6 linked regions of the Canis lupus familiaris genome follow. The protein of the gene in region 4 purifies or fractionates together with the protein of the main gene of each other region. This does not show direct contact. Links are inferred from orthologs where the notes say so. Each region holds a gene or a part of one and is shown on either strand. Other genes may lie near its edges.

Region 1 (4,920 bases), on a different chromosome or scaffold from region 4:
ATTATTCATTCAGCATTTAATAACTGACTTTCTTCTGTAAAGAAAAGCTTTCCCTTAGAGACTAAGGAGCTGTCAGTAAAGGAGAGTAATTTGGATGAAACTATGAGTTCTGCCCACTCATTACTTCCTTGTAATGAGTTGTAAATATGTCTTCAGTTATATTTGGTGTATTTTTTAAAGTATATGTGTATCAGAATGCTTTATTCTAGTTTGAAGTTTCATCGAGTTTGCCAAACTATTCTGCAGGTTAAATGAACTGTTTTGTCATTTTCCTTTTCTGTTTACACGGCAGTAATTAAATGAATCGTGCAAATTTGAGATGTCCTTCCTTGCCCCACATATGCCCTCTATCGTTTTCCCAATCTATTCAACTGTGAACTTGTAAGATAATAGTGCTGAAAAGGAGGCAAGAGGCCCATGTACCCCTAATGCTGACAATTAAAAAAACAGGAAAAAAGTTTTAATAGAGTGCTAACTAGTTTTTCTAGTGTTGCAGAATGAACTTAATAATAAATAAATGATATTTTGACCCTTTACTTGTGTTGTCTCCTAATGCTCCTTGGGTTCTGATGGTGATAAAAGACTGTTGTTGGGTGTGGCAGGGGGCTCATTCTGGGCCCTGACAGCATCAGTGATGGGTAGCCTGGTGGTCCTACTTCATCATCTAGGTGCTTGATGCATTATTCCATACTTGTTTCTGACATATGATTAAACAGTCATTGCACAAATGCTAACAATTTATGTGATATTTGACTTTTCACCACATTTCCCAAACTTAAATGTTGAAATGAAAGTCCTTAAAATATTCTTTGTGCTAATGTTGGTAGGATACTCCTAATATTAACTTTTTACTTAAACTATTTTGTGTGAATTGATTATTCTAATTCATTATTATTAACCACCTTTCATGAAAATTCAGAGACAAGGAATTTTTTTTAGGTGTTTCCAAATAATTATCTGAATAACGGTTGTTTCTGAAATAGGTTGAGGCATAATGAAAGTTTGAATAGCCATCTGTGTCATAGTAAGTTGGAGAATTGACTATCTTTTTAAAATGTTTAATTATATATATATATATAAATAAAGGAACCACAAAATCTTGATCAGAGTTACTAATTACTACTAACAGGGAGAATGTAGCCTCTGGGGTAGGTTCATGAAGGTTCATACAGCTCCCTTAAGTTAAAATGTAGAGCTCTAAAACTAGATCTGTAGCGGTTTAGTTTATAATCCATTGACAGTTGAATAATGCAGGGGGTGTGTATATGAGAAAGACAAATACAGTCACTAAACTACAGCTTTATGCTTTAGGAAACAGTTTGTTGACTTGCATTAGCTTTTTATTTTATGTGTTACAGAGTGCATACATGTACATGTTTGTCATACTGTTTGTTACAAACTTTTTAGTGTGCTGTCCCTCTGGAATGTCCCAGAACCGTAGTGTGCCTAAACCTGCTGTATCCTTTATAGCTTTCAGGTTGGCATAGAATCTAGAGCTTTTTTGTTCTATCAACTATTTCCACAAAATAATGGATCTTTCTTTTTGTCTCTCCTCCCATTTGTATGACCCTAGAAAGTTACTGGGAAGAATGATGTTTATGAGATAAAGTAGCATTGTTAAATTTTAGCAGAAGCTGTGGGTTAGATGGAGCCACTGGAGAAGCATCTCCTTTACACCTGTGGACCTCCCTGAGTGCTTGAACCAAGATAGAGGCAGCACATAAAGCCATTACTGGTCACCTGCTGTCATTCTCTCCTTTTGTCCATTTCTCCTGCCCTCACCTCCTGTTTCTGCTTTTTTCTTGTCCAGGTCTTAGCTTTCCTATTAACACTTAAAGACATTGTTACACACTGGTAGAGGTCTGATAGTTTAATTGTGATTTATACTGCATACTCAAAACTAATAGCCCTCCCTCCGATCCCCCGAAACAAATAAACTGATTACACTGCTAGTAACAATTTAGTAAGTCCTTGGCTCATTCTTTCAGGAGAAAGTAGCTGAAATAAATAATTATTACTCAAACAACTTTGAAATATTTCTTTGAATGATCAGTTTATTGTCACAATTTTGTTTTAATTGTAGGTGAAGTTAAAATGAACTATTTGGGCAAACCATATGTAGCCATGGTTACTACATACCAAATGGCAGTTCTTCTTGCCTTTAACAACAGTGAAACTGTCAGCTATAAAGAACTTCAAGACAGCACTCAAATGAATGAAAAGGAACTGACAAAAACAATCAAATCATTACTTGATGTGAAAATGATTAACCATGATTCAGAAAAGGTATGGGGTAATATTTCAAGGAATTCTTTTTTTTAAAGATTGATTTATTTATTCATGAGAGACAGAGAGGCAGAGACATAGACAGAGAGAGAAGCAGGCTCCTCACAGGGAGCCTGATGCGGGACCCAATCCCGGATCCTGGGATAATACCCTGAGCTGAAGGCAAACGCTCCATCCCTATTTCGAGGAATTTAAGCATTATAAACATTATAGCTTGAGACGTTTGCAGTTTTTAAAGTAAGATTATAATCAGTAATACCCTTTGTACTTTGGAAAGCACTGGAGTCAGCTAGCAATACTGCTGGCTACTTAGAGCTGTGAGCTTGTGGAATCACAGAGAAGTTGGTGCCTCTGTGCCCTTTATAATTGGCTGGATTCTGGTTAATTGAGGCTAAAAACAATAGCATATCCTAAATCTTCCTGATTTTTTTCACATGTGTTTAATTGATATTTAATTATTTAATTACATGGTTCTAATAGAAAATGACTATTGATATTATTTATATGTATATTTAGCTTGTGTGACAATTCTGAATGCTCTCACTCTTCTGTCCCTTCAGTCCAGGACTCAACTAATAACCACCATATATTTGTAGTACAAATATATTGTCACAAGAATAGCAAGCCAGGAATATACTACTTTTCTTAATAGCTTTTTTTCCCTAGTAACACGTTTTTGTTACTGTTATAGTATATATATATATATATCCTGGATATTTAAATGATTCAAAAGCAACAGATGTGAGTTAAATCTCCTAATTCGAATTGTGCCTGTAAGAAAAAATTCTTATAAATCAGACATCATTTTTATTTTGGTGAAGTTAATAGCCTACTATTTCTGTCATCAGTTCACTTAATTAATGATATATATTTTTAAAGATTTATTTATTTGGGGGGTGGCAGGAGAGGCAGAGGGAGAAGAGAATCCTAAGCAGATTCCCTGCTGAATGTGGAGCCCAACACAGGTCTCAATCTCATAACCCTGAGATCATGACCTGAGCTGAAACCAAGAGTCAGACGCTTAACCAACTATACCCTCCAAGCGCCCCTGCTGGATGATATTTTGTAGCCTATAATTAAATAGTTTTAAATGGCATATATTTTGAAATTCAAATCAAGCTTTTCTTAATACTGAGAAATTAATTTTTGATTTCAGAATCTTAACAAAATATTAAATTCTTAATATTAAGATTTTAATTGAGTCAATCATTAAGCATGAATTTTTAAGCTTATAACCTAAAAAGTTTAAGTTTATAAGCTAAATTAAGTACTTAAGACATTATGTATTTTCTAAAATGTATTATTTTTGCTGCCCGGGAATGTACAAAATATAGATGATTGCTTGTTTGCACATAAATTTTAACTATGAATCTGCTGTTCCTTAGCAGAACTTCTTAGCTTATTATTGAGAATGAATTCATTTGCTAAGTGCTTTTTGATCTTGCTAATGGAGAAAACACCATGTGTGATCAGAGTGGCTTTCATAAGCTTGATAGTTGTGATTATAAAAATTGACTTAACAACTTTCACTTGAAAAGAGGCCACGTGCTTCTGGCAGACAGTAAAACATGAATTCGAGGGTAAACTTCATAAGAACCATACTAAAGCCGTGTATGCCACTGGACACTACTTGTTTCTGTTGTCGGGTTATTTATAATACGTATACGTATTTTCTTATTGCAGCACTTTAAAAGACATTTGGTTGCTCACTTTTTCAAAATAGGGTGACATAAATTATGAGCCTAGTAGTTCATAAGAATTAAAGTGTTAAAAAAAAAGAATTAAAGTGTTAAATTCTGTTTAAGACAATTTGACTCTTTATCCGATGGTTATATATATTAGTTGGGCCATAGCTTATTTCTAAATCTAAACAGATTAAAATTCAAGTATAAAATTAGAAAAGAATTGATATTTGCTTCTTTCTTTATTTTACAGAAGACAGTTGTTTTTCTCTTAAATAATCTTTATAATGTAAAATGATGAGCGTTTAGTCTTGCTTGGTCATTTAATTTTATGATATTTTATTTGCAGCAACTCTTATTTAATTGTTTTAATTTTTATAAATATACATGCATTATTTTCAATTATAGGAAGACATTGATACAGAATCTTCATTTTCATTAAATATGAACTTTAGCAGTAAAAGAACAAAATTTAAAATTACTACATCGATGCAGAAAGACACACCACAGGTGAGTGATTTTTAATGTCATTTCTTTGGGAAATATTTAAACATTGGACTTCACAAGCGGTAACTGAGATAATGGAAAACTTTGCACATCAAAATTAATAATGTGATGCCTTTTTTATGATTTATTCTTTGAGCTTACTAAACCTTGCAAACCAAACCTCTGCCAGTATTTTAGATTATAAAAATAATAGATATCTAAGAGTAATGTATAATATAATAGATATCTAAGGGAAAAGGTATTGCAGTATAGTCATACTTTTAGACTATATTAAAATGCAGAGCATTGCTTTGCATTCTTCACAGAAATTCCTATTTATTTTTAAAGATGTTATTTATTAACTTGAGAAAGAGACAGAGAGAGCACAAGCAGGGGGAGAGGCAGACTCTCCCCGGAGCAGGGAACCCTATGCGGGGCTCAGTCCCAGGACCCTGAGATTATAACC
Region 2 (4,920 bases), on a different chromosome or scaffold from region 4:
TACAAGGTTTATTGTTACTAACTTAACCAAATTTAGAGGTTTGTTCTTACAAGTAATCCATTTTGAAATTTGGGCTTGTGGAATACATTGTTAGAAACCATTGATTTTTGTGAACATCATTCTCCTCAAATGTGTTCTTCAAAACAGTGTATGAGCTGAGATTTGGTAAAAGTAGCTATGTTTAGTCTGTAAATTACTGGATTGACAACGGAGGAGATCAGGGTTGGGCTTGGTCCTGGGAACTGTGTTCTGTGTGTGTGTGTGGGGGGGGGGTGTTAGTTACCTTCCTGTTTCTTGGGCCTTATAATGCACCCTCAACTCTGGCCAGCCATCTTAGAAAAATGCTCCTGTTAGGAAGGTCAAAAGATTTGTAGCTACATTACTCAGAAAGGTACCAAAATTCAGGTCCTTTTCATATTGGGTTAGGGGCGTCCTTGACATAAGATAAACAATGCATAGGTCAATCGAAGCAAAAACTCATTTTCTCTCTAAGATCTTTTTCTTTTCCTTTCCTATTTTAACATCATGACATTCCTGCTTGGCAGCAGGCATAATGCTATGATTATGTTTTCCTCCATTTCGGGTTACTCCCCTTGCCTTGCAACCCCTCCTTATTCCTTTATCTCTTTCAAAGTTTCCATTCTCCGCTCCCTAACTTTTTATTCCCTCCCTTCTTCTCTTCCTCCTCCTCCTTTTTCCCAGCTAGCTCACCCCGCCCCTCACCGTCACCACCTTCCCTCCCCTTCAGGCTCCTTCCCGCTGCTTCTCCCGCCACCTTCCCCCCACCCCGCCCGCCTCGCGTTCAGAAAGCTCCAATCAGCAACTCGGGAGGTGTCTCAAAAGCCCGCCCCCTCCTCCCTTTCCACTTCTCTTCCCCCCCTTTCTCCCTCCCCCATCCCCCCCCACTCAAGTCCTGCGGACCTGGGGGCTTCGGGACCTGGGCGCTATGAAAAGTGTCTGCCCAGTCACTTCCGGTAAGGGCGCTGCAGCGCGAAGCTCCCCGCGGGACCGTTAAGGAGGGGGTGGCAGTTACTGGCGGGCCAGGGAAGAAGAGTGCTGCCAGGGAGAGGGAGCGGGAGGGGGGGCAGCGAGAGCGAGAGAAGGAGCACGACCGTCTGGGGCGCCTTAGCCGCCGCTTTCCCGCCGCCTCCCTCCCAGCCAGCTCCCCCGCCCCCCGGGCGCCTGCAGTGCTTCTCTCCACCCCCCACTCCCGGGGACAGACGCCGCCCCTCCCTCGCCGCCGCGTGACCGGAAGTGGCGCCATCTTTAGCCTCTTGTGCTATTGACAATAACAAGCCCTGGTTCTCTCCCCCTCCCCCTTCCCCCTCCCCCCAACCACGGCATCTCCCCTCCCAGAGAGAGGGAGAAAAGGAGGAGGAGCTGCAGCCTCACAGACTCACTGAGTCGCTCCTGCAGAAAGGGGGGAGAGAGACCGAAAAGCAGGGGAGGGGGACGGCACGGCCGTTTACCTGTCTGCCTCCTCATTCGCTCTCCCCCCTCGTTCTGCTCACTCCTGGTGTCAGCCTATCCGCCTTCCCAAACCCTCCCATTCCCCCGGTGTAGCCCCCCCTTCACTTTCCTTCTCGTCCTCTGTGTTTCTCCTCTCTTTCTTCCCTTCCCCCCTCTAGCATTGCCACCTTCTCTCCTACACGCACGCAGGCATATAAACGTAGGTTTTTGATGCTCCTCTGCCTGTTGACCCCGCTATTTTCATGTTTCCAACAGGTTTTTCTTCCCCCAATCCCTCAGCTGCTGCTGCTGCTCAGGAGGTCAGATCTGCCACTGATGGTAATACCAGCACCACTCCGCCCACCTCTGCCAAGAAGAGAAAGTTAAACAGCAGCAGCAGTAGCAGCAGTAACAGTAGTAACGAGAGAGAAGACTTTGATTCCACCTCTTCCTCCTCATCCACTCCTCCTTTACAACCCAGGGATTCGGCATCCCCTTCAACCTCGTCCTTCTGCCTGGGGGTTTCAGTGGCTACTTCCAGCCACGTACCGATACAGAAGAAGCTGCGTTTTGAAGACACCCTGGAGTTTGTAGGGTTTGATGCGAAGATGGCTGAGGAATCCTCCTCCTCTTCCTCCTCATCTTCACCAACTGCTGCAACATCTCAGCAGCAGCAACTTAAAAATAAGAGTATATTAATCTCTTCTGTGGCTTCGGTGCATCACGCAAACGGCCTAGCCAAATCTTCTACCACCACTTCTAGCTTTGCTAACAGCAAGCCTGGGTCTGCTAAGAAGTTAGTGATCAAGAACTTTAAAGGTAACCAAGGCCAAAATCCATAATCACTGACTAAGGATTTGACACTTGAGCGGTCACGTGCTCTATTTATGTTAATATATTAAACAGTATAGAGGTGGCCTAATGTTTTATGCATAATCAATGAGGTGGAGGGAGGTCCTTTTTTGGGTGGAGGGTTCATTTTCCGGGGGTGGTTAGTATTCTTGTGCTGAAGCATACACCGGCGTGTTTCTGTGCAGTATTTGATGTCTGGCTCAGTTTAATCTGTTACTCAGTGTAACATTGCCAGTCGGTATGATTGATCTGGATTATACAGGTGAGAAATTTGTATTCTAAGGAGGTTTATTTGTTTCAGGTGCATAGTGAGCTTTGGCACTGCTGGGATTTTTATTTTTATGCTTCAGTAGGCCACATTCTCTAGTCCCTAGAAATGCAGGTAGCATTGGTGATCTTTTCATGCTCAAAGATGATTTATAGTTAGATTTATAATGTTGGATACTATATTCTTGAAACTCCTTGTGGAAGCAGTTTTGGAGAAAAATATTTATGATCTCTGCATATCTTTCCAAAGATAGGGTTTGGAAGTGAAAAATACTGTATACACAAAAGTAGTAACTCTGTGTACCACTAGTCTAAAGATAGGAACAATTACTACATCTATTTTTTTTTTCACTAAAATGGGCTTTAAAGTACTGACCTGCAGCTTTTAGGAAAATTTGTTCATTTCATGTTTGAGATATGTGATTAAGAGTATTATGAGTGCATTGATGCATGTAAAATCAACAATTTTTAAAAACATAATTGAAATGAATTACTTTTTTTCTGTTGACTGTATTTGTTTTTCTGACTTAAGTTTTTCGACATCCTTAACTGGCAGGTAATAGATGCTAAGATGTTTATTAAATACAAAAGTAAATGAATGAACTGAAGTAGTATTTACCAGATAAGTGTCTTGTGGCTAAATATCAGTATTGAGAAAATTAGATTCTCAGTGCTTGTGTTTTCAACATTAGTGTGGAAATCAGAAATATGCTCTATTTTGTCTAGAGCAGAGGGTTATAGTGTTTATTTTTAACCTTTTTTTCCTATCACTCCTCTCCCATCCCCAGGTTCTTAAGAGTGTTGTAATCTTTCTGATTTAATAGTAGACCTTTCTGAAGTAAATGTGAATTGTAATTGACTAATATGTTCACTGTTCCAAAGTATATCAATTTAACAGTCAAGGATTTTTAAAGAGAGGAGTTATGATCCTAATTTAATTTGCATACTGGTTTCTGAGATTTTGTTTGGGTTTTTTCTTTCCCTCTTAAACTAAAAACATATCCTTAAGGCATTAGGATATTTTAATTTAAAAAATACTCATTGCTGGTCAATGAAGTTTAAAGCCTGGCTTAAGGTAGTCCTGTCCATTCTGAAAATGCTACAGAGGTTCTGGAGTCATTTGGATGTTTTAATTTTTTTAAATTTTACTCTGCTCATGGATGTAGTTTAAATTAAAATCTGAGTTAAGATGTTTCTCTTCATTTGTAGATGGTGCATAAATGTGGGGGTCAAACAGAGTTGGGTTAGAATCTCAGTTTTGCCACTGATTAGCTTTAATGACCTTGGGCAAGCCTTACTAAATGAGTCTTCTAGCCTCAGTAGTTTTCTCCGTTGTAAGATAGAGATAAATAATACCTTCCTTAGAGCATTGTTAGGGAGATTAAGATGTTTGTAAGGTACTGTGTGCACAGTGGATATTCAGTATTTTAAATCTTAGGTGCAAAATTCATGTTGACTGACTTAGGATTTACATGTGATGGAATAAGATCGGGACTGTTTTTATCTGTGATTTTTGAATTTTGATTTTTTAAAGCAATACAGTCAATTGAAAAAAAAACCTCTCACCTTTAATTTTAATAGGTGAGTCAAAATGACTTAAACAGTATTCTGGCATTTCAAATTTTATTCTTTATGCTAAGGCTAAAAAGCAGTAATTACTTTAATAATTAGATGTTGTGATTATAAAAATCACAATTTACCCTTGAAAAGCAATAATACTATTACTGTACTTTAGTGGAGCCTTCCATTACTATATCCTACATATTCTGATATCAACCTTGTACATATCACCTAGATAAGCCTAAATTACCAGAGAACTACACAGATGAAACATGGCAGAAGCTGAAAGAAGCAGTGGAAGCTATCCAGAATAGTACTTCAATTAAGTACAATTTAGAAGAACTCTACCAGGTATGTATTAATGTGGATAACCAGATTTGGCAAGCATAAATTGAAGTAGTATGTAAAATATGGATTTTACTTTGAAATGACTCCTTATGTAGACTTTTGGTTTCCTTCTAATGAAAATGTCTTGATTTATGTACTCTGCTTTATAATCAGACCACATATTCTGACATACTCTAACATTCTGACATAAACTATGAGTATAGTCATACTGGTATATATTGGGTTTACCTTGGACCCTTCTGACTGGGATTTATAGTGAGGAATACCTTGGTATTATCAAGGGTTTACCTATAATGGAATCATACAGCCTGGATCCCAAAGGTGTGATTTCTGATGACAAGTCATTCTGTTATGGTACTTATCCCTAAGTGGTGTTACTCACCTATAGGAAAGGCCTCAAGAAATGTAGATATTCTCTATATGCTTTATCCTCCCTCATTCATA
Region 3 (4,920 bases), on a different chromosome or scaffold from region 4:
GCATCAGCTACCTTGTAAGGCTCTGGAAGGCAAAGCGCAACCTTTTTGGGTGGGTCTGAAGGCAGAGGGGTAATTAGGAAGGAATGACATATCAGAGTCCTGAGAACTGGGGCCTTGGAAGTATAAATTTGTTGGCTGCAGCTGCATTTTAGATTCTGAGTTTGGGAGAAGCCCACATTCACCGATCTAAACATTCCTCACTCTCTACCTTTTCGGGTTTATGTGTTTTAGACCAAGGCTCAGGCACCAAGGCAGGCTCTTGAGAGCTTCGCCCTGGCAGGAAGAAGCATTGGGAGCTGTGCCTAGGCTCTGCCGGCTCTGGAGTCCCAACACCCTACTGCTCTATCCCAACCTTTGGTACTCTCCTTTTCCTGGGCTTTCAGGCTTCTCCGAAAACTCATCTGCCACATTCTTTTTTCTAAACCCACCCCTCATCCCTTATGTGGCCTGCCTTTTGTTTCCCATATGTTAATCTCTGTGGCTCTGGGCTCAGATTGTTCAGGAGCTGCTCTACTTTCTGCATCGCCTGGCCTCAATGCATAAGGACTATGCTGTGGTTCTCTGCTGCCTGGGAGCCAAAGAGGCCCTCTCCAAAGTCCTAGACAAGCACTCGGCTCAGCTGCTGCTGGCCTGTGAGCTTCGGGACCTGGTGACAGAGTGTGAAAAACATGCCCAACTCTACAGTAACCTCACGTCCAGCATCCTGGCTGGCTGCATTCAGGTGAGGAGGTGTGTGGGTCCAGAGCTGAGGGAGAACATAAACCAGAAGCAGGGGAAGAGGATTCATTGTGGGTCCTCCTTTGGTAACCCTATTTGGCACAAATGGTAGCAAATCTGGGGCACTTGTTTCCCCAGTCTTTACCCCACATGGTCCTGTTCTGCCAAAATGTGTGAAGAGAGAGGTTGAGTGTTTTGTTGCCCCTTGACTTGTTCTCCATACATGTTTCTGTATGTTCACACTCTTCCCTCCTCCCCATACCCCTTCTCTCCACTGTTCCCACTGCAGATGGTGCTGGGCCAGATCGAAGACCACCGACGAACCCACCAACCCATCAACATCCCCTTCTTTGACGTGTTTCTCAGGCATCTCTGCCAGGGTCTGTGCCCCAATCTGCTTTCTTCTGGCTTCCACCCCAGTATTTGTTTTCCCCGTCTCTTTCCTTTCTTCTCTCTCAACTAACTAGACTGTGATGGCCACCCCCTCCCACTTACCCCTAGGCTCCAGTGTGGAAGTGAAGGAGGACAAGTGCTGGGAGAAGGTGGAGGTGTCCTCCAACCCGCACCGGGCCAGCAAGCTGACGGACCGCAACCCCAAGACCTACTGGGAGTCCAACGGCAGCACTGGCTCCCATTACATCACCTTGCACATGCACCGTGGTGTTCTTGTTAGGTATGAACATGCTCATGTGCACATATGCATACACACACGCGTGAATATTTTGATACACCCCAGTATACATTCTCCAAGCACCCACATATGTGACTCTATAAACCCTATGCGTTAGAGACACACTCAAACCCATCCTGTGCAGTGAATAGATAGACACATAGATCTACATTCCTTGTATAGTATAGACATTCTTACTCCCTGAGCCTGTTGACATGCTCCTCCTACTAGGGACAGATGTGCATGGTGTTGTGGGAAGTTGATTCTTTCCATGGGTGCTTGCTTAATGTATACTCTGTGCCAGGCACTGGGCCAGGGTCTAGGGCTATAAGGACAATTAGATATAGTACCCATCCTCAGGGAACTTGTGGTCTTGTTGGGGAGTTAGTCTGGAAAATCAGTAAGAGTAAGAAAAAGTGATGTGGACCCTGAGGCCAAGTGAGAGGTGAGAGAAGTCTTCCAGAAGGAGATGTTAAATGAGTTCTTTCAAAGTAGAAATTAGCTATATAAAGAGAGGCAGTGGCTACTCCAGGCAGAGGGATAGCATCTGTGTAAAATGGAAGTAAGAAACACAGTGATGTATTTGGGGGAAGTTTAAGTGACTGGCTGGAATGAAGGGTGTGTGTTGGGCAGTCAGGGTGGCTCAGTGGTTTAGTGCTGCCTTCAGCCCAGGGCCTGATCCTAGAGACCTGGGATTGAGTCCCATGTCAGGCTCCTACATGGAGCCTGCTTCTCCCTCTACCTATGTGTCTGCCTCTCTCTCTCTCTCATGAATAAATAAATAAAATCTTAAAAAAAAAAAAAAGAAGGATGTGTGTCATGAAAAATAGCAAGAGACAAAGCCAGAAAACTAGGTAGAGCCAGACCACAGAGTTTTGTAAGCTAAGTAGTTTGAACACTATTCTGAAACTGAGGGAGCCACTAAAGGATTTTAAGAATACAAGAGACAGGGGATCCCTGGGTGGCACAGCGGTTTGGCGCCTGCCTTTGGCCCAGGGCACGATCCTGGAGACCCGGGATCGAATCCCACATCAGGCTCCCGGTGCATGGAGCCTGCTTCTCCCTCTGCCTATGTCTCTGCCTCTCTCTCTCTCTCTGTGTGACTTCATAAATAAATAAATAAATAAATAATTAAAAAAAATAAAATATATATTTAAAAAAAAAAAGAATACAAGAGACAAAACTGAATTCTTTTCTTTTTTCTTTTCTTTCTTTTCTTTTTCTTTTCTAGAAAAGTCACCCTGGTGATTATGAGAGTTTGGGTTGAAGGCCAGAGTTGGAAGGTTTATGCGGTGGTCTCGTTGAGAAATGAATGTTTTCAGGATGCCTGGGTGGCTCAGTGGTTGGGCGCCTGCCTTTGGCCCAGGTTGTGATTCCGGGATTCGGGATTCTCTCTCTCTGTGTGTCTCTCATGAATAACTAAATAAATCTTAAAAAAAAAAAAAAAAAAAAAATGAATGTTTTCAGTTAGGCAGAGGGAATGGAAATAAGGAAGGAGTAGCAGACAGATCTCAAGTCTACAGGATGTGCCACTGACATGAGGGAAGCCATGAGCCAGAGAAGTCACATAGTTTAATGTGAATACTCTAGTGAGATGGCAGTTTTCTTCCCTAGAGGACTGTAGGAAGAAGAGCAGACCTCTGTGGATAGATAATGGTTCCTTTTGGGCATGTTGACTTTGAGGTGCCTATGGAGTGTGATATGGAAACGTCTGCTGGGTACACAGCATGAAAGCTGAGAGGAGCCATCTAGGGTAGAGATGTGGATTTGGAGTCATTAGGGAATTGGTTTTTGGTTGAAACTATGGTGTTTTTTTTTTTTTCTTTTTTAAAAGATTTTATTTATTCATGAGAGACACAGAAAGAAGCAGAGATAGAAGCAGGCTCTCTGTGGGGAGCCTGATGTGGGACTCAATCTCAGGACCCCAGGATTACGCTGTTCCTGAAGGCAGACACTCAACCACCGAGCCATCCAGGCATCCTGAAACTATGATTTTAAATAAAGTCACTTTGATGGAAGATAGAGCAGAGGCTCTGGGGAAGACTAACACTTAAGGAGGCAGCGGGATGGGGGTCTGAGGAGGAAGTAGTGGGTTGAAGTCATTTTTTAAAAAATTTTTTATTTATCTATTCATGAGCGATAGAGAGGGAGAGACAGGCAGAGGGAGAAGCAGGTTCCATGCAGGGAGCCTGAGGTGGGACTCGATCCTGGCTCCCCAGGATCACACCCTGGGCTGTAGGCAGCACTAAACCGCTGCACCACCGAGGCTGCCCAGGTTGAAGTCATTTTGAACAAAGACCAAGGCCCCAGGTCTAAATGATTGTTTTTCCTCTCCCAGGCAGCTGACTTTGCTCGTGGCCAGTGAGGACTCAAGTTACATGCCGGCAAGGGTGGTGGTGTTCGGAGGTGACAGTGCCAGCTGCATCAGCACTGAGCTCAACACGGTGGGGACCCTGGTGCCCCTCTTGACCTTACTCCCCATCTTTCTATCCCAGGACCTCCTGGGAAGGATCCAGTCCCTGGGAGATTCCCATGTTCCTTTCCCCAGGCAGGCTTTGCCTCCTAAGCAGTGAGAGCAGAGCTCAGCATGCAAATTTGCGTGGTTCCATGGGTTTAGGACAGAAGTAAAGAGCACACACTGTCACAGGATTTGGTTGCTGTCAGTAGTTCCTCCAGCCCCACTTCTGGAGGTGATAGTTCTTTCTCCTCCCCTACCCCATCAGGTCAATGTGATGCCCTCCGCCAGCCGGGTGATCCTCCTGGAGAACCTGAACCGTTTCTGGCCCATCATCCAGATCCGCATAAAGCGCTGCCAGCAGGTAGGGTTAGGGGAGAGGCCGGGCTGGGGATCATGGGGTAGCATAGGGTCTTCATAGTGATTGCATTACCCAGCATTTGCGTGCCAGGCTCAGGCCACACATCTTCTTGGGGATGGCCTAGGAGCCTGTTGAGTTTGAGTATCTCCAGGGAACTCAGGGCATGAGGCCTGGCTCTTTTTTTTTTTTTTTTTCTTCAGTGCTTGTTGGCTGGGTGGCTAAGGTAATAGACAAGTCTGTGCATGTTACAGGGCGGCATCGACACCCGGGTTCGAGGTGTGGAGGTCCTGGGCCCCAAGCCCACTTTCTGGCCACTATTCCGGGAGCAGCTGTGTCGCCGTACATGTCTCTTCTATACCATTCGGGCACAAGCCTGGAGCCGGGACATAGCAGAGGACCGCAAGCGCCTCCTCCAGCTCTGTCCCCGGTGGGTGGAGCAGGCAGTGGGCTGGCCAGGTTGATGGGAGGGAGGAGAGGTTAATATAGTAGGAGGACACTGTTAAGAAGTAGGCAGTGGGAGGGGCACCTGGATGACTCAATTGGTTGAGCATCTGACTCTTGGTTTTGGCTCAGGTCATGGTCTCACCATTAGGTGATCAAGCCCCACGTTGGGCTCTGTGTTCTGTGCGGCATCTGCTTCAGGTTCTTTCTCCCTCTCTCCACTCTCTCTCTCTCTCTCTCTCAAATAAATAAATAAAATTTTTAAAAATGTAGGTG
Region 4 (5,346 bases):
AATTAGAAATAACTTGTGCCAAAAAACCTTCTTTGAATGTATGCATATAGATATATGTGTTTGTGTTGGTCAGAATAGGTGTATTATACATAAATCAACAGAAGCAGCAGGCTACAATTCCCCCCTGTGGTGGAGATTTTCCAAATATAATGAGACATGTTAAAACCTCTTTCAGAAAGTTTTTATTCTGTATACTAAGCAACAGAAGTGGCTGTTCAGGAAGAGGTTATAGAAGTTGTTCTGCAGAGGTTTTTGGCTTCCGCACCTCTGAGATTATACTGTTTATTGCCAAGAAGCATGTGTGAAAATCCCCTATTCTGGGCCACATGATGGCGCTTTTAGCTCTGTCAGCATTAACAATTCACCCCAATTTTATTTTTCAAACCATAATTTGATTCTCAACATTTGTCCTTCTTAGTTTTAACTCCTGATTTTTTAGGTTATAAAGAAACTTCCAAGACTTGTCAGAGTCTACATTCAAACAAAACAGATTTTATAAGTATAACTATATGACTATCTAAATGAGTACACTGTCTCAGAGGAATTTAAGTGTATGTGGTCTGTTTCTGGCCACCAAGTGGGTGAAAAATTTCTAACTCACAACATGAGAAGCATCATACTGCGTCATGATCTAAGTCATCTAGGTCAATGTTTTGTCTCTGAGACAGTATCAGGAGACATTTTGTGGGAAACACGGCCGTTCTCGTGACATTAAAGATTCTACTCCAGATATTTTTCATACTTTAATAATAAAAATGAGGGAGTAGAAAACTCCAAAGGCCCCTTCCGATTCCAAAGCCTCAACAGAAGTATGGAGCTAGAATTCATGGATTTGTCTAAATCTTTTTAAAATCTATCTATATGTGTTTATTATCAGGGTAGAGAGCTTTCTATGGTATAAAATAGTATTTTAGAAATGTTAAAAGACACTACAGATTTTAGTATTTTGGTATCTGGTAAATTATATTAGCTTTCACAACAATATAAGACAAACTAAACTGAGTCAAATTCAATATTCTATTTCCAAATAGTGTGCAAGATCATGGTTTCCCTGAAGATGTCAACTTCAAGTTGTTCTGGACATGCTATAAAACATTCCTGGTTTTTCTTCAGAATTGAAAAACTTTGATCTTACCCTTTATCAGCCTTCTTTACAGACTTTCCCTAGTCTTATGCCGATAATTTTAATTTTCATCACTTTTATAAATAAAACATTTCCTATCTAAACTTTTACTATGGTGACAGTGACTGACTCAGACTGTAAAACACTAGAACTAAAGGGAACTAAGAGATTAATGCAACTTTCTACTTTGCAAATGAGGAAACTAAGGCTTAGTGTTGATAACAGACTGACAGTAATATGCATGTACTGGATTATAATGTAAAGTATACTATGGTGGTCAGTGCAATAAAATATTCAATTCTTTGAGTGGATTTTAAAATTTGCTCTTATTTTTTTAAATTTTAAGTATTCAATAGTTATTAATATTAATAAAATAAATAATAAAACAAAATAATTATGACTTAATTATGGTGATATGATTTAGTATGATGACACTTTAAACTAATGAAAACATCTCTTCCTTAAATACTAAATCCTGCCATTTAAAAGCAACAATTTTTTCCCCTTTAAAAGAAGATAGGTTCTGAGACACCTGGGTGGCTCAGCTGTTACTCAGCTGTTAAGCCTTTGGCTTAGGGCATGATCCTGTGGTATTGGGATCGAGTCCCACATTGGGCTTCCTGCATGGAGCCTGCTTCTCCCTCTGTCCGTGTCTTTGCCTCTCTCTTTCTGTGTCTCTCATGAATAAATAAATAAAATCTTTGGAAAAAAAAAAGATAGGTTCTGAATGGTATTATTTAACATTATATACCTGATACTGTATGTGAGCAGACTTTAAAAATCACATTTCTGTAGAGCTTACATATGCAACAGCTGGAAAGGCTTTTTAAAAGAATACTGAATTCTAGAATTCTGATCTTTGGAACACTTAAAAATATCAAACATTCTCTGAAGACACAGTGACCTCTAGTGGATTCATGAAATAAACTGACATAATGCTTGCCAGTAAGAATTTATAAATTAAGGTAAACCTGATACTGGAGATATAAAAGATACTAATATGGTTATATACTAACAAGAATCATACAAAAATAAGGGCTACCATTATACATGTAGTATAACTGTATACAATTATATATTTATAGGTTACTCACTAGTTACTTTTAAACAACTGGAATCCTGGTATTGTTGAGAACCTATCACTCGCTTAAGAAATACAGTTAATCTTTCTGAGCTTATTTGATAAAGATGTTGTGTTAAATTGTCCCTAAGGGCCTTTCAGCTCTTTAATTATGATCTTTTCTTCTTTAATTCATTTTGTACACCAGTGTCAGATCAAATTCTGTTCAATAGCATTTGAAGGCTCCCCAATACTTGTCCTCATTAGAATAAGTAAATTTGTTTCATTTGTGTGCTTGTTATGCCATTCCATTAACATTTCAATTTAAACTCACAGGTTTGGTTTCATAAGTGTGTGTGTTGTTTGTACAGGTGTGGGTAGCCTGTTGGATACTAAGCTCACATTATATACACTGAATGTAAATTAAATTGATTTGTCTAAATTAGGGAAACCAATGCCATTTTCATCTTTCTTTTTTAGTGAGGTAGGGAAGGGCATATAAAGTAGAATTTCAAGAACCCCAAGCATAAAGTGACAGAGCTTCACATTCTGGGAAAAGGTGGGCGTTCTGAACATAGAATAAGATTTTGGGAAAAACTGTTTTAGATTAGCTGAAGGAAGTACCAATAAGTGTATCTGAAGAATATCAAGATGACAGGAAGGGTGGTTTGGTAAATAGTTTTGAAGCAGATATGAGGATGGGCTAAGTTTAACTAGAGAAGATATCACTGGAAACAATGTTAAGGATAACTTAAGAAAACACTGATTTTAACAGCTGGGGAATGGAATATGTGCAGCTGTCCTAAGACTGAGGAGGCAATAAGCAGCTCTGTTGAAACAAACATTAAGAAAGGAGAAAAAGAAAAGTAATAGTTAAGAAGGTACTCTTAGGTCCCCAGTCACCTTCGACAATGCTACAATCCTTTATCCTTCAAATAAGAAAGGCTAGTAGAGAAGTAGTGAACAAGTTTGTCTTCATTATGTGTAATTCAATTAACAAAGGTCATAGAGTGGTGTGCTTAACATATTCTCTCTCTATATATATATTTATTTTTAAGAAAGTGTGTGTGAATGAGGGGCAGTCGGGAAAGAAGGAGAAAGAATCGTAAGTGGACTCCACATTGAGTGCAGAGTACAACACAGCACTTGAACTCACAACCCTGAGATCATGATCTGAGCTGAAATCAAGAGTCAGACGCTTAACTGACTGAGACACTCAGGCGCCCCTTTACATATTCTAAACCACACAGCATTGGATCTGCAGGCAAAGGTGTCAGCCAACAACAGGACTGTCCCTCAGTACAAATGATGCTAGTTCAAACTACAGTGGTTTCATATTACCTTGTGCATCAGATAACACTTAAATAAGTTTTTTTCTTTAGGCAAAGGTCTTTAGTTAACTTGCATCTCATTATGTTTATGTCATTAAGTTCATTTAGCATTGATACTCTTTTACCACATGCCTTGTGTTGCAATATTCTCTATGAAACATGAGTTATTTGGGACATTATTTCATTTAACCTTGTTTGAAATTGGACAACATAGTTCAATTACATAACAATTTTTGTTACCTTTTCTACATATGGCATTTGCCCCTCAATAATAAATTTTCTCTCAAATTCAGCAACTACTGAAATGTTGTAAAAGTTTAAACATTTCCTAAGAGGCAAAACCCCAGGAATGTTCATAATATTTTTTTGCTAAAAATTATATTGGATTTGTTTAAATTAAAAAAATACTGTACTGATTTTTAATAGTGAGTGAATTAGTAACCTGAACTTTTTAACCTTTGTACATAGTTGTTTTTTAGTACATAGTTTTCTAACAAAATTCAGTTGGATCCTAAGATCTAGTATCTACTTGAAAACTTTAACATTCTTACTCTAAGATTATTATACTAATAGAGTTAATAGAAATAACTAACATAGCAGAAGTGACGTTCAGGTTTTGTGATTAAAACTAAAACAGCAGGGGCAGCCCAGGTGGCCCAGCAGTTTAGTGACGCCTTCGGCCCAGGGCGTGATCCTGGAGACCCGGGATCGAGTCCCACGTTGGGCTCCCTGCATGGAGCCTGCTTCTCCCTCTGCCTGTGTCTCTGCCTCTCTTTCTCTCTCTCTCTCTGTGTCTCTCATGAATAAATAAATAAAATCTTTAAAAAACGAAAACAGCAAAGAAACACCATTTATATTTATTAATTTTCTGATTTTAAGTGTAAAATCCTTAATAACTATGCTTAAAATAAAAGCATTTCCCCACAATTAAAATGTATACAATGGTAACATCCTACAGAAAACTAGCACTACTCTCTACATATCTCAGAAAGCTGGAATATATCAACAAATTATATGTAATGATTTAAATTACCTTTCCTCTTCTCGAACCCATACTGGAGTTTTAGGAATTTGTGCTTCAAAAAACTTAGATGCTTTGTAACAAAAGTTGCTGCAAAAGCACTGAAAAAAATTTTTTAATTAGCAAATTATTTCATTCTTACTATGAAACACAACTTATGTACTGAAAACATAGTTCAAATAATGAAAACCGGGGATTCCTGGGTGGCACAGTGGTTTAGCGCCTGCCTTTGGCCCAGGGCGCGATCCTGGAGACCCAGGATCGAATCCCACGTCGGGCTCCCGGCGCATGGAGCCTGCTTCTCCCTCTGCCTATGTCTCTGCCTCTCTCTCTCTCTGTGTGACTATCAAAAAAAAAAAAAAAAAAGAAAACCCATGAGTCCACAACCCAAGGTAAGAAATAATGTATAATACCTTTGAAGCTCTCGATGTGTCTGTCCCAGATAGCATCACCTTCCATATTCCCCACTATCATACATTGTGTGTTCCTAACTCCCTTGCTTTTCTTTAGTACTGCTATCTATATATACATACCTACAAAGATATCATTCAGTTTTGCCTAATTTTAAACTTTGTCTAAATATAATTGTACTGCTATATTTTCTGGGATTTTTTTTGTTCCACATTATATTTTTCAGATTCATGGAGGTGTAGTTTCTATATTTATACCTTTATTGTTTACGAATAATTGAGTTGTTTCTAACTTTTCTGCTATCACTACAATGTGCCTGATAAACATTTTTAAAGAATTTTTAAAATAAAAAAATACTGTTGTAAAAAAAAATACTGTTGTAAAATAAATTTACCATCTT
Region 5 (5,679 bases), on a different chromosome or scaffold from region 4:
AGCAGCGTTATCGCATGATTGACTTTCTGCGGTTCCGGCCTGAGCTGGAAACAAAGCCAGGACCTTTTGAAGAGAAGGTCATCATGGTCCGCTATGATCCCTGTAGGCAAGTTGGGATGTGAGATGATGGTGTGGCTGAATGATTCATCTGTGGCTTTTCAGAACATGTAGGGCTGCCTAGATCATCTGCTCATATGTCTTCACCCCTCACAGATCAGCAGACATAGCTCTGGTTGCTGGGGGTAGCCGGAAACGCTGGATCGTTGCCACAGAAAACATGCAGGCTGGAGATATAATCCTGAACTCTGACCACATAGGCCGAATGGCAGGTAAGAGTGCCGCCAGATGTGTATGGGCCCGGAGGATGCAAGGGGTCTGGTGCTGATGAAGTTCTGTCTTTTAGTTGCTGCTCGGGAAGGGGATGCACATCCTCTTGGGGCCTTGCCTGTGGGAACCCTCATCAACAACGTGGAGAGTGAGCCTGGCCGGGGGGCCCAGTATATCCGAGCCGCAGGTATGAGGAAAGGAGCTGCTTTGGGATGGGGAGTCTTAAAATTTGGAAGACCAAAGGGTACCTGAGGTCACAATTCTCTGAAGTCCTGGCCCCACATGTAGTCCTCTGGCAGAAAAAAAGAAGAAAAACGAGAGTGGAGAGGTGCTTGTGTTTTGACCTAAAACATTGTGTGCATCCTACTTCAGGGTATCTGTTCCTAAAGGGCAAAGCAAGGTCAGGGTATGGGCTATGTCGCCCTGTAAATTTTCCCCCGCCTCCTCGTTTGTGGAAGACAGCAAAGTGGCTTCCCTCTTCCCCAGGGACATGTGGTGTGCTGCTTCGGAAAGTGAATGGGACAGCCATCATCCAGCTGCCATCCAAGAGGCAGATGCAGGTGTGTGTGAGTATAGGTGGGAGGGATCAGCAAAGGAGGAATTATCGGAATGCACCTTTCTTGTCTGGGATAGTTCCCAGGTGTTTTAGGAACCACCCTGAGCTAGGTGTGTCCTTTTCTGCCATGTGACCAGGCATGCCCTGTCAGGCTGGCACTATAATGGGAGAGGGAATAGTGCCTTTTGTTTTCAAATTACCATAGGACCTGCACTCAGGTTCGATGATGCTGTGGTTTTTTCCTGTCCTCTCCCTTCTCTCAGTGAGTGTAAGAAGCCTCCCCAGAGTCAGGAAATCAACGTCATGTTCTTTCCCAGTGGTGCATTCTCCTCCATCCGCTTTCTCCGTCAGGTTCTGGAAACGTGCATGGCAACAGTGGGCCGGGTATCCAACGTTGATCATAACAAACGGGTCATCGGCAAGGCTGGGCGGAACCGCTGGCTGGGCAAGAGGCCTTCCAGCGGGCTATGGCACCGAAAGGGGGGCTGGGCTGGCCGCAAGATTCGACCATTGCCTCCCATGAAGAGTTATGTCAAGCTGCCTTCGGCAGCTGCCCAAAACTGATATCGCTGAATTCTAATAAAATCGCTCCTATTTTTATCTGTTACTGTTTTTTGGGGAGGGAGGATGGTACATACTAGACCTGGGGGAGTGGGGGAACACAGGTGCAAACAAGGATGGAAGAGAAAGGAAAGGACGTTATGCGGCGAAGACTGGAGCTCTTCCCCTCTTTTCTAGCCACCCCACCCACCCCCGACTCGTGGGGGTTTTTTTGTTTTTTTGTTTTTTTTTAAATATAATGGGAGGAGGAGGAATAAATGACCTCCAAGGTCTTCTTCGGTTCTGACTTCGGGAATTGGAGAGAACACTTCCGGTGGGAGGAGGGAATACGGAAAGGAAGAGGAAAGGGCGGCGCAGAGGAAAAGGTGCCGCCCGTTGCCGAGGTGGCACCGGCGACTCCGCCCCAGCGCTCTCCTAGGGCCCCCAGCTTTCCGCTGGGTCAGCGGAAATGAGCCGCAGCTCCGGGCGGGTGGCGGAGCCCCAGAGCTGGGCGGGCGGCGCCGCTGGCTGAGCCCGGTCCCGCCTCGCCCCGGCGGCCGCTGACCTGTGCGCGCGGGCGGTGACAGTGGCCGCCCGGGGGTGCTCGGTCTCTGCGCGCCACGCCCCCGCCCGTCCTTCGGAGGCACGCCGCCTCCCGCCTCTCCGCTTAGACCCCCTCGGGGGCCCAGGCGGGGCCCAAACCTCTGCCAGCATCGCCGCCATCGTCTGCGCTGCGTCCCTAGCTCAGCGAAGGACAGGCCTCGCGCCGGGACCCCCATCGACTTCTGAGGTGGCCAGAGCCCCGCCGCGGCCCCTGCCCCTACCCTGGGTTTTCCTCTGCACACTCGCCCACCGGCCCCGCGCCCGCTCGATCTCGCGTCCCCCTATCCTACTTCCACAGTGCCTTGGGGTTCTCGTTTATCCCGTCTAGCCTCCTCCCCTGCACCTTCCCACGCGCCCCCAGCTCCTCGGGTCCACCTGCCTCTCGCCGCTCACCCACCGTGTCTCCTGTGCACCCCGTCCTGGGTCTCCCGTCGCCCCCACCGGCCCTGCTGCTCCAGTGTCCCCAGTCCTCGCCTCTGCTGCCCACCAGCGTCTCCTCCCGGCCCATCGCGCCTTGCCCTCACCCCACCCCAACCCACCGACAATTCTCCGGATCTCTTGTCTCTTTGACACACTCCTGCGCTTCAACCATCAGACCTAATGTCCTTTTCCAGGCACTCAGGGTCTCACTCCCCAACACACATAGCCCACCCCCACACCCCTCCGGGCTTTATTTATCTCCTCAGGGCTGCTGCCTGTCCCAGGGCCTTGGGATTCACTTGTAACTCCAAGGTTGCCCTGCCCACACTGTCCCCTTCCCACTGCTCCAAACCAACCCACTCCAGTTTGCAGGGCCTTCAAAACCCCCTTTCAACCAAATTTTGTGTTCTTAGAACAAACACCCCAGTGTTCCCCTGCTTAGGTCTGGCCCCACCCAGCCTGCAGCAGGCAACTCCTGGGCCCTGCTTTACTCCAGCCAACTGGACAGCTGTTACCACATTTGCTTCCCCAATTCCTGGACGTCCTTGATTTTCTGAACTCCCACTCTCATTTTAGCTTGCCTGTTCTCTTTTCCTTGTGTGTCTCAGGTGCCAGAATGGTGGGGGAACTCCGCTACAGGGAATTCAGAGTGCCTCTGGGACCTGGCTTGCATGCCTACCCAGATGAGCTGATCCGCCAGCGGGTAGGCCACGATGGGCATCCTGAGTACCAGATCCGCTGGCTCATCCTCAGGCGTGGGGATGAAGGGGAAGGGGGCTCTAGCCAAGTGGACTGCAAGGCTGAGCATATCCTACTGTGGATGTCCAACGACGAGATCTATGCCAACTGCCACAAGATGCTGGGCGAGGACGGCCAGGTCATCGGCCCCTCTCAGGAGATCACAGGGGAGGCTGGGGCCCTGGACAAATCTGTGTTGGGGGAAATGGAAACTGATGTGAAGTCTTTAATTCAGAGGGCCCTCCGGCAGCTGGAAGAGTGTGTGGGTACCATCCCTCCTGCTCCTTTACTTCACACTGTCCATGTACTCAGCGCCTATGCCAGCATTGAGCCCCTGACTGGGGTATTCAAAGACCCAAGGGTCCTGGACCTGCTCATGCACATGTTGAGTAGTCCTGATTATCAGATTCGCTGGAGTGCAGGCCGGATGATACAAGCCCTGGCCTCCCATGATGCTGGTGAGGAACAGTGTGGGGAGAAAAGAAGGGGAAGCTGGTTAGCTTGGGGCCTCACATGACACTGTGGCAAGAGCCTCTGCCTCATCAGTGCCTGAATAATTCTGTTGTCCTTCTCTTTGAGTTGGAAGAAAAGGAGATAGGAAGGTAGATAGGGACATCTCTGTAGGAAGAGGAAGGGACAGGTTGTGGGTTGGGTGAGGGAGTGCCTGACTGGCTCATTCAGAAGAGCATGCAACTCTTCATCTCAGGGTTGTAAGTTCACCTTTTGGGGCATAGAGTTTACATTTATTTATTTATTATTTAATTAATTTATTTATTCATAGGGGTGGGCAGAGACATAGGTAGAGGGAGAAACAGGCTCCATGCAGGGAGCCCGATGTGGGAGTCGATCCTGAGTCTCCAGGATCATGCCCTAGGCCTGAGGCAGGTGCTAAACCACTGGTGCTAAACCACTGAGCCACCCAGAGTGGATCCCTAGAGTTTACTTTAAAAAAAATTAGAAAAGAAAGAGAAAGGACTGAATCCTCAAGAATCTCACATTAATCGAATCTCTACGCAAAGGAAGAGTTAAGGTATTTGATTACTGTAGGATATATATGTATATGAAATATGAATATAGGAAAGATAGTAAGTTTTTTTTAAGCTAATTAGCAAAACATTTCATCCCCAAAGGGTGACAAAGGGATTGGACTGAGAGAGAAGAGGGTCTAGGAGGGATGCCCGGAAGGGCAATGTGAGCAGTTACTGACTGGGTGTGAGTTTCAGGGACTCGGACCCAGATCCTTCTGTCACTAAGCCAGCAAGAGGCCATTGAGAAACACCTGGATTTTGACAGCCGCTGTGCTCTACTAGCTTTGTTTGCACAGGCCACACTCTCTGAACACCCTATGTCTTTCGAAGGCATCCAGCTGCCACAGGTATTCTGTGGGGAGGTTTCGGTAGGGGGGTGCTATAAACAAGACCGAAGTACCAAGCCTTTTTACCTGCCCTTAAAGGATGGTGTGGAAAGAGGAGCTAAAGCTGGGACAAGGTGGATGTAGGCCAAAGATTGCATCCTACAGGTCCCAGGAAGGCTACTCTTCTCCCTGGTGAAGCGCTATTTGCACGTCACTTCCCTTCTGGACCAGCTGAATGACAGTGCTGCAGAACCAGGAGCCCAGAACAACTCTGGTCCCGAGGAGTTGAGTGGGGAAAGGGATCGACTGGAGCTGGAGTTCAGCATGGCCATGGGCACCTTGATCTCAGAGCTGGTGCAGGCCATGCGCTGGGACTGGGCCTTGAGCAGACAAAGGCCTTTGGCACGGTCCTCCTGCTCCATCTTCCAGCCCCAACTGGCAGAGGCTGGCCCCGGGCTGCCACCCACCCGGGCCCAGCCCTCCATTAGGAGGTCAAGGAGGTTCCGCCCTCGCTCTGAGTTTGCAAGTGGCAATACTTATGCCTTGTATGTGCGAGAGACGCTGCAGGCTGGGATGCGAGTGCGCATGCTGGATGACTACGAGGAGGTCAGCGCTGGGGATGAGGGAGAGTTCCGTCAGAGCAACAACGGCATGCCCCCCGTGCAGGTGAGCCAAGACATGTGTGAGATGCTGTCAGGGCTCTAGCTGGGGGAGCATAACTGGGGCTTCCATACAGGGGGCTCTGGCAGGCCACCCATGGAAAAAAAAAAAACCCTGTGGGGATTGGAGTGGTGAAAAGAGGTCAGGGAGGTGAGAAGGGGGCCATTTGGAGGGCTGAGAAAATCAGGGTTGGGTAGGCTATGAGGTCAGGAAGACTCACTCCCAGGAAAAAAACTGATAAAGCAAGACTCTCCCAAAGGTCAGGGTCAGAGAGAGAGTAGCTGAGGCCAGGAGGAAGTGTGGGGACGAGTGGGTGGGAGGAGAAGCAGAGCCTATTCCCATAGGACAGGTCATCCTTTGTGTGTGTGTGTTCTCCGTATGCCAGCATTGTGTTCTTTGGAGGTTGCTCTAAACCTGGCCAGGTGGTCAGCCTGAGGGCTGTATGTCCTCATCACTGGGCCACAGCATAGCCAGTCTTGAA
Region 6 (4,920 bases), on a different chromosome or scaffold from region 4:
TATGAAATTCTTTGTGTAAATGTATTTTTCCAGAAATATGATTCATGACTCCCCCAAATATTTAAAAGATCTTTTCCCCTCTGTTTTAGGTGCCTTCTACAAGTACCCATGCATTAGAGAAATCTGTTAAAAGCAGTAGGCTATTAGAAGCTTGGAACCAACCCTGTTCATGTAATTTTCCTAATTATCTAGCCTAGCATCATATACAGCTGGGTACTTAATTTCTGTTGTTGTTTGTTTGAGAATGCTTTGTTCTGGCCTCTCCCTTATCCTGAGCCAAGCATTTGGATCTTTTGTGTTTGGTATAAACTGTACTAGAAAATAAAGCAAAGGGGCTTAGCCCCTGGTTTTTGGTGTTCTCTTTGAAGATTTTTGGGCACAGCAGAATTTGATTTGTGTCTTTGTTGACACTGAAATAAATTTAGGTCAATTGGAAATGAGTTTAAAACACAGCAGTGTACTATTATTCCATATTGACTTTAGGGGAGCTTTATTCATTATTAGTCTAATAGGGAATAGCTATAGAAGTGATTCATTCTTGACTTTCCCCGCTCAACCAGGAGAGCAGTGTAGAATTAATCATGGCAGCAGACAGTGAGGTGTGTTTTGTTTGATTGGCCCATTGGTTTGGTTTGCCATGCATGAAAAAGTGCTTGTCATTTGGGTGACTGATAGTAAGAGCCCACTTCAGAATGTATACTTCTAGAAATACACGTTATACCATTTAATCCAGAAGATCACCCTGTGAAAGTAGATATTATCCCAATTACATAGGTGGGAGAAAAGGCTTCGAAAAGTTAGAGATAGCCAACATCAAACATCTTGTAAGGAGCTCCAAATTCCTTGCTCTTTTCGTTTTAGCAGTCTGAGAGGTGGAGGCATTCTAGAGGATCTCAATATGAACAAAACATGGCCCTTGCTCTCAAGGTTTCTTTTAAATCCATCCAGTGTGTCTTCTTATAAATATATGATAGCACAGAAAAGTGCAAACAACTTCCAAGTATAGGGTCAGGATTGGTATGATGAAGGAAGAATTGAAGAGGGAGGAGTGTTTGGAGAAGAAGATGAGAGGCCAAAAGCATGGAGATGGGAAAGCAGTGGGCTTTGCTTTAGTTAGGAATTACTCTCGTTTGGCTCGAGCATGAGCTGCATGAAAGAAAGTAAAAGAAAGTGGTGGAAGCTAGACCTCTGAAAGATAAGTTAGGATCAGATTGTGAAGGGCCTCAACTGCCATGCTAGGGAAGAACCTCATTCTGTAGATATTTTGAGCAGGAGATAAAAAATGTAGCTCCAAAGAGGACCCATAATAAGCATGATAAATACTTAAAATTCTAAGTTATGATTTGTGCTAATCTCTTCACATACATTGTCTCATTAATGCCTCACAGTAACTCCATGAACAATGTACTCCATCCCTTTTACAGATGTGAAATTGAGGCTCAGCGAGATTAAGTTTGCAGGTGTTGGACAGATATTGCTGGAGCTAAGACTTGGACTGGGGTCTGTCAGCTTCTAAAGCCTGTTCTGTTTACCACTATGCTATATTGCCATTAAAAGGGAAAAAAGGTTTATTTATTTTTGAGAGAGAAAGTGAGAGGGTGAGTGTGCACAAGTGGCAGGAGGGGCAGAGGGAAAGGATCTTCCAGCAGATTCCCCACTGAGCGTGGAGCCTGATGTGGGACTTGACCCCATGATCCATGAGATCACGACCTGAGCTGAAATCGAGTTGGATGCTTAACTACTGAGCTAGCCAAGTGCCCCTGTATATTGTCATCTTAAAAATCAGATCACTTGATAAGTTCTTAATTCTCTGTCAAAAATATGACTATAGGAAAAAGACATTTTCAGAGTTCTAAAGTACTGCTTCTCGGTGTGTAATAATGTTAAGGAATATAATCACTACCAAACCTGATTTGTACTGCTCTCTAGTTTGGGACCAGTGCTGGATGGGAAATTAAAGAGTTGGATGGTGTTTTATGTACATACCACATGACATCAATACATGCTCATGACAAGTGTTTTTGCTTTCATTTTCAGCATTTAACTTTATTGGCCCTATGTAAATCTTAGATCAGGGAAAGCCCATACATATGTAGGGGCACTTTCAGATGTTCATAGCAGTGCTATTTTTCTAAGTTAAAATATGTTTCTTCTCAGCAGGTTTTCTTGCTTATAAAAGACAATGACTACTGATGAAGGTGCCAAGAACAGTGGAGAAAACCCAGCAGCAGCTGTGGCTGAACGTGGAGAGGATATCACCTCAAAAAAAGATAGAGGAGTATTAAAGGTGAGGTTACAAGGATGAATGACATGCAGGGAAATTTGCTGTCTGGAAGGATAATTTATAAAAATCTTTCTTTTTTTCTTTTGGCTGGAAGGTGGAGGTCAATAATGTTTATTGAGGCTTACCTAAGTGCTAAACACTACAACCATTTTTCATTTCATCTTCATGACTTGAAGTTTGTTTTAATCCCAAATTATATTTTAAAAATGGAGGGATCCCTGGGTGGCTCAGTGGTTTAGCGCCTGCCTTTGGCCCAGGGCATGATCCTGGGGTCCTGGGATCGAGTCCCACATCAGGCTCCCTGCATGGATCCTGCTTCTCTCTCTGCCTGTGTCTCTGCCTTTCTCTCTCTCTCTTTGTGTCTCTCATGAATAAATAAATAAAAAATCTTTTAAAAAAATCCCAAATTATAGATGGTGAGACTGAGGCCCAGCCAGGTAAATGAATGGGGTCCAGATCCAAGTTATGTGTGACTCTAGAAGGCTCTGTCTCCCAGTTCTCAGAGCGTACACATGGGTTATTATTTTAACATAATATTTCAGTATATTAAAGCTAATTGGTGACAATTCAAAAGACTTAGAGGAAAAAGAAAAGGTAACTTGCTAAAGTTCAAAGGGATTTTTTTCACATGCAAATTGTTATTTGTGCAGTGAAGGTATTTTTTGAGATTTCATCAGAGAATATATCTTACCTTTGAATTAGCTTTCCTCATTAAAACACACTATATCTTTTTCACTCTATAATTAATCACATCTACATGTGTGTTTTTATTTGTGTCTCACAATGGTCTTGTGAGATAATCAGAGCACCTCTTGAACTTTCCATTTTATTTATGGAAGGTATATATTGGTATTCCAGGTAAGTAAATAAAGTGGAGCTGAGAGAGGTTAAATGAATTTAGTCATATTAGGTCATTATTTCTCCTACACTGTTGTTACTCATACAAGTTTGTATAGTTTTTTTTCTTGCTGAAAAGATTATCTTACACGTTCTAAATATCATCACTAAGCTGAATTTCAATATTTCCTTGTGTCAGCAGCAGCAGCAAATGGGAATTTTTTAGTTTGTCTAGTCTTGCTTATGTGAAAGCTTTCTTCCTGTGCCTGAGTCTTCTGAATATACGTTTTACTGTTAGCTTGCCACGTACATGCAAAGCCAAATTTTGGGGACTTTCAACTCTGGAAATAGGGGTTTTATGTCTTAGAGTTATATACCGCTGTCTTTTTCCATAGGGCTTCTTTTTTTTTTTTTTTTTTTTTTTTTTAAGATTTTATTTATTTATTCATGATAGTCACACAGAGAGAGAGAGAGAGAGGCAGAGACACAGGCAGAGGGCTAAGCAGGCTCCACGCAGGGAGCCCGACGTGGGATTCAATCCCGGGTCTCCAGGATCGCGCCCCGGGCCAAAGGCAGGCGCTAAACCGCTGCGCCACCCAGGGATCCCTCCATAGGGCTTCTTAACCTGTATGAATTACCTATCCTGAACTCCAGGATGCTTCTAGAGACAATAGATATCTGCAGGCTGTCCTCGGCATCTCCCTGCTCTGGTTAAGTCCTTCTCTTTCATCTTTTCCATGCACCCATACAGAGAACATAGTCCCCAATATGCCTCCAGCCCTGTATTATTCCAGGGAGTAAATCCGATAAGATTTTTAGGTTTGTAAGAAACATTTTGGGATCCTAAGCCTTTTAAATCCTATAATTTATCCCTGTCTAGCACCATGGGGCTTTTGGTTAAGATTAAATAGGTCTACTAATTATATGACCTAGGGCATTTTAGTTAACCTCTCTGTGGTGAGATTTCCTCATTTGTAGAATTGGAATAATACTACCCACCTCATATAGTTATTGAGATTATATAAAGCATTTAGCAGAGTGCCTCATCTGTAGTCATGTCTTTTATTACTATAAAAGTAATAAAATTACATTGTGGAGCTGAATCAAGACTAGATTGTATCCTTAAAGCATCTACTTAAAGTAACTCTTCATGTCTTCCCATTTTTCCCAGTCTAGAGCCCCTAACAACTAACCTTCTACTCTCTGTTTTTGTGAGGTCAGCTTTTTTAGATTCCACATATAAATGAGATCATACAGGATTTTCTGTCACTTAGCGTAATACTCTCAAGGTCCATTCATGTTGTCACGATGGCAAGATTTTATTCTTTTTTTATGGCTGGATTAACATTTCACTGTGTATATAATATACATACTACATTTTCTTCATCCATTCGTTTCTCTGTGGACACTTAGGTTATTTCCATAGCTTAGCTATTGTACATAATGTTGCAATGAACATAGGAGGTACATATGTCTTCGTGAGCTAGTGTTTTCGTTTTCCTCAGAGAAATACCCAGAAGTGGAATTGCTGGATTGTATGGTAGTCCTGTTTTTAATTTTTTGAGGAATGGTCACACTGTTTTCCACAGTGGCTTCACTAACTTACATTCCCACCAACAGTGCACGAGTATTCTCTTTTCTCCAAAACCTCACTAATACTTGTTATTTCTTGTCTTTTTAATCTTAGCCATTCTAACAGATGAGGTAGTATCTTGTGGGTTTGACTTGCATTTCTCGATTGTTTTCATTATTTCTTTTTCAGATATATCCCTGTTATGAGTGTGTAGAAAAACAGCTGA

What was found.
Region 1: the proteins of GLMN (region 4) and CUL2 purify together in Homo sapiens (co-immunoprecipitation; 4 studies listed by BioGRID and IntAct, counting the BioPlex papers as one, with this or other methods). This does not show direct contact. The link is inferred for Canis lupus familiaris from reciprocal best matches to the Homo sapiens genes GLMN and CUL2.
Region 2: the proteins of GLMN (region 4) and CUL4B purify together in Homo sapiens (affinity purification with mass spectrometry; 3 studies listed by BioGRID and IntAct, counting the BioPlex papers as one, with this or other methods). This does not show direct contact. The link is inferred for Canis lupus familiaris from reciprocal best matches to the Homo sapiens genes GLMN and CUL4B.
Region 3: the proteins of GLMN (region 4) and CUL9 purify together in Homo sapiens (affinity purification with mass spectrometry; 3 studies listed by BioGRID and IntAct, counting the BioPlex papers as one, with this or other methods). This does not show direct contact. The link is inferred for Canis lupus familiaris from reciprocal best matches to the Homo sapiens genes GLMN and CUL9.
Region 5: the proteins of GLMN (region 4) and CUL7 purify together in Homo sapiens (affinity purification with mass spectrometry; 4 studies listed by BioGRID and IntAct, counting the BioPlex papers as one, with this or other methods). This does not show direct contact. The link is inferred for Canis lupus familiaris from reciprocal best matches to the Homo sapiens genes GLMN and CUL7.
Region 6: the proteins of GLMN (region 4) and FKBP5 purify together in Homo sapiens (affinity purification with mass spectrometry; 3 studies listed by BioGRID and IntAct, with this or other methods). This does not show direct contact. The link is inferred for Canis lupus familiaris from reciprocal best matches to the Homo sapiens genes GLMN and FKBP5.

The regions. Positions count from the first base shown.
Region 1 is NC_049223.1:2,206,940-2,211,859, forward strand, and holds part of CUL2 (cullin-2), read left to right. Parts: intron 1-2,083; coding exon 2,084-2,286; intron 2,287-4,376; coding exon 4,377-4,478; intron 4,479-4,920.
Region 2 is NC_049260.1:93,256,211-93,261,130, reverse strand, and holds part of CUL4B (cullin-4B), read left to right. Parts: intron 1-836; exon of another isoform or gene 837-946; coding exon of another isoform or gene 947-974; intron 975-1,725; coding exon 1,726-2,268; intron 2,269-2,437; exon of another isoform or gene 2,438-2,541; coding exon of another isoform or gene 2,542-2,563; intron 2,564-4,363; coding exon 4,364-4,479; intron 4,480-4,920.
Region 3 is NC_049233.1:11,876,639-11,881,558, forward strand, and holds part of CUL9 (cullin-9), read left to right. Parts: intron 1-493; coding exon 494-721; intron 722-1,006; coding exon 1,007-1,097; intron 1,098-1,218; coding exon 1,219-1,390; intron 1,391-3,725; coding exon 3,726-3,831; intron 3,832-4,110; coding exon 4,111-4,206; intron 4,207-4,454; coding exon 4,455-4,630; intron 4,631-4,920. UniProt on the Homo sapiens protein: Core component of a Cul9-RING ubiquitin-protein ligase complex composed of CUL9 and RBX1. The CUL9-RBX1 complex mediates ubiquitination and subsequent degradation of BIRC5 and is required to maintain microtubule dynamics and genome integrity.
Region 4 is NC_049227.1:57,125,258-57,130,603, forward strand, and holds the start of GLMN (glomulin), read left to right. Parts: upstream 1-2,014; 5' UTR 2,015-2,088; intron 2,089-4,547; coding exon of another isoform or gene 4,548-4,636; intron 4,637-5,346. Other genes in the region: putative RNA polymerase II subunit B1 CTD phosphatase RPAP2, read right to left, coding at 4,548-4,636.
Region 5 is NC_049233.1:11,758,705-11,764,383, reverse strand, and holds the start of CUL7 (cullin-7), read left to right. Parts: upstream 1-1,962; 5' UTR 1,963-2,213; intron 2,214-3,054; 5' UTR 3,055-3,062; coding exon 3,063-3,642; intron 3,643-4,407; coding exon 4,408-4,559; intron 4,560-4,703; coding exon 4,704-5,204; intron 5,205-5,679. Other genes in the region: MRPL2 (39S ribosomal protein L2, mitochondrial), read left to right, coding at 1-106, 214-329, 404-514, 700-887, 1,235-1,447. UniProt on the Homo sapiens protein: Core component of the 3M and Cul7-RING(FBXW8) complexes, which mediate the ubiquitination and subsequent proteasomal degradation of target proteins. Core component of the 3M complex, a complex required to regulate microtubule dynamics and genome integrity.
Region 6 is NC_049233.1:4,961,665-4,966,584, reverse strand, and holds part of FKBP5 (peptidyl-prolyl cis-trans isomerase FKBP5), read left to right. Parts: intron 1-2,157; exon of another isoform or gene 2,158-2,160; 5' UTR 2,161-2,182; coding exon 2,183-2,287; intron 2,288-4,920. UniProt on the Homo sapiens protein: Immunophilin protein with PPIase and co-chaperone activities. Component of unligated steroid receptors heterocomplexes through interaction with heat-shock protein 90 (HSP90).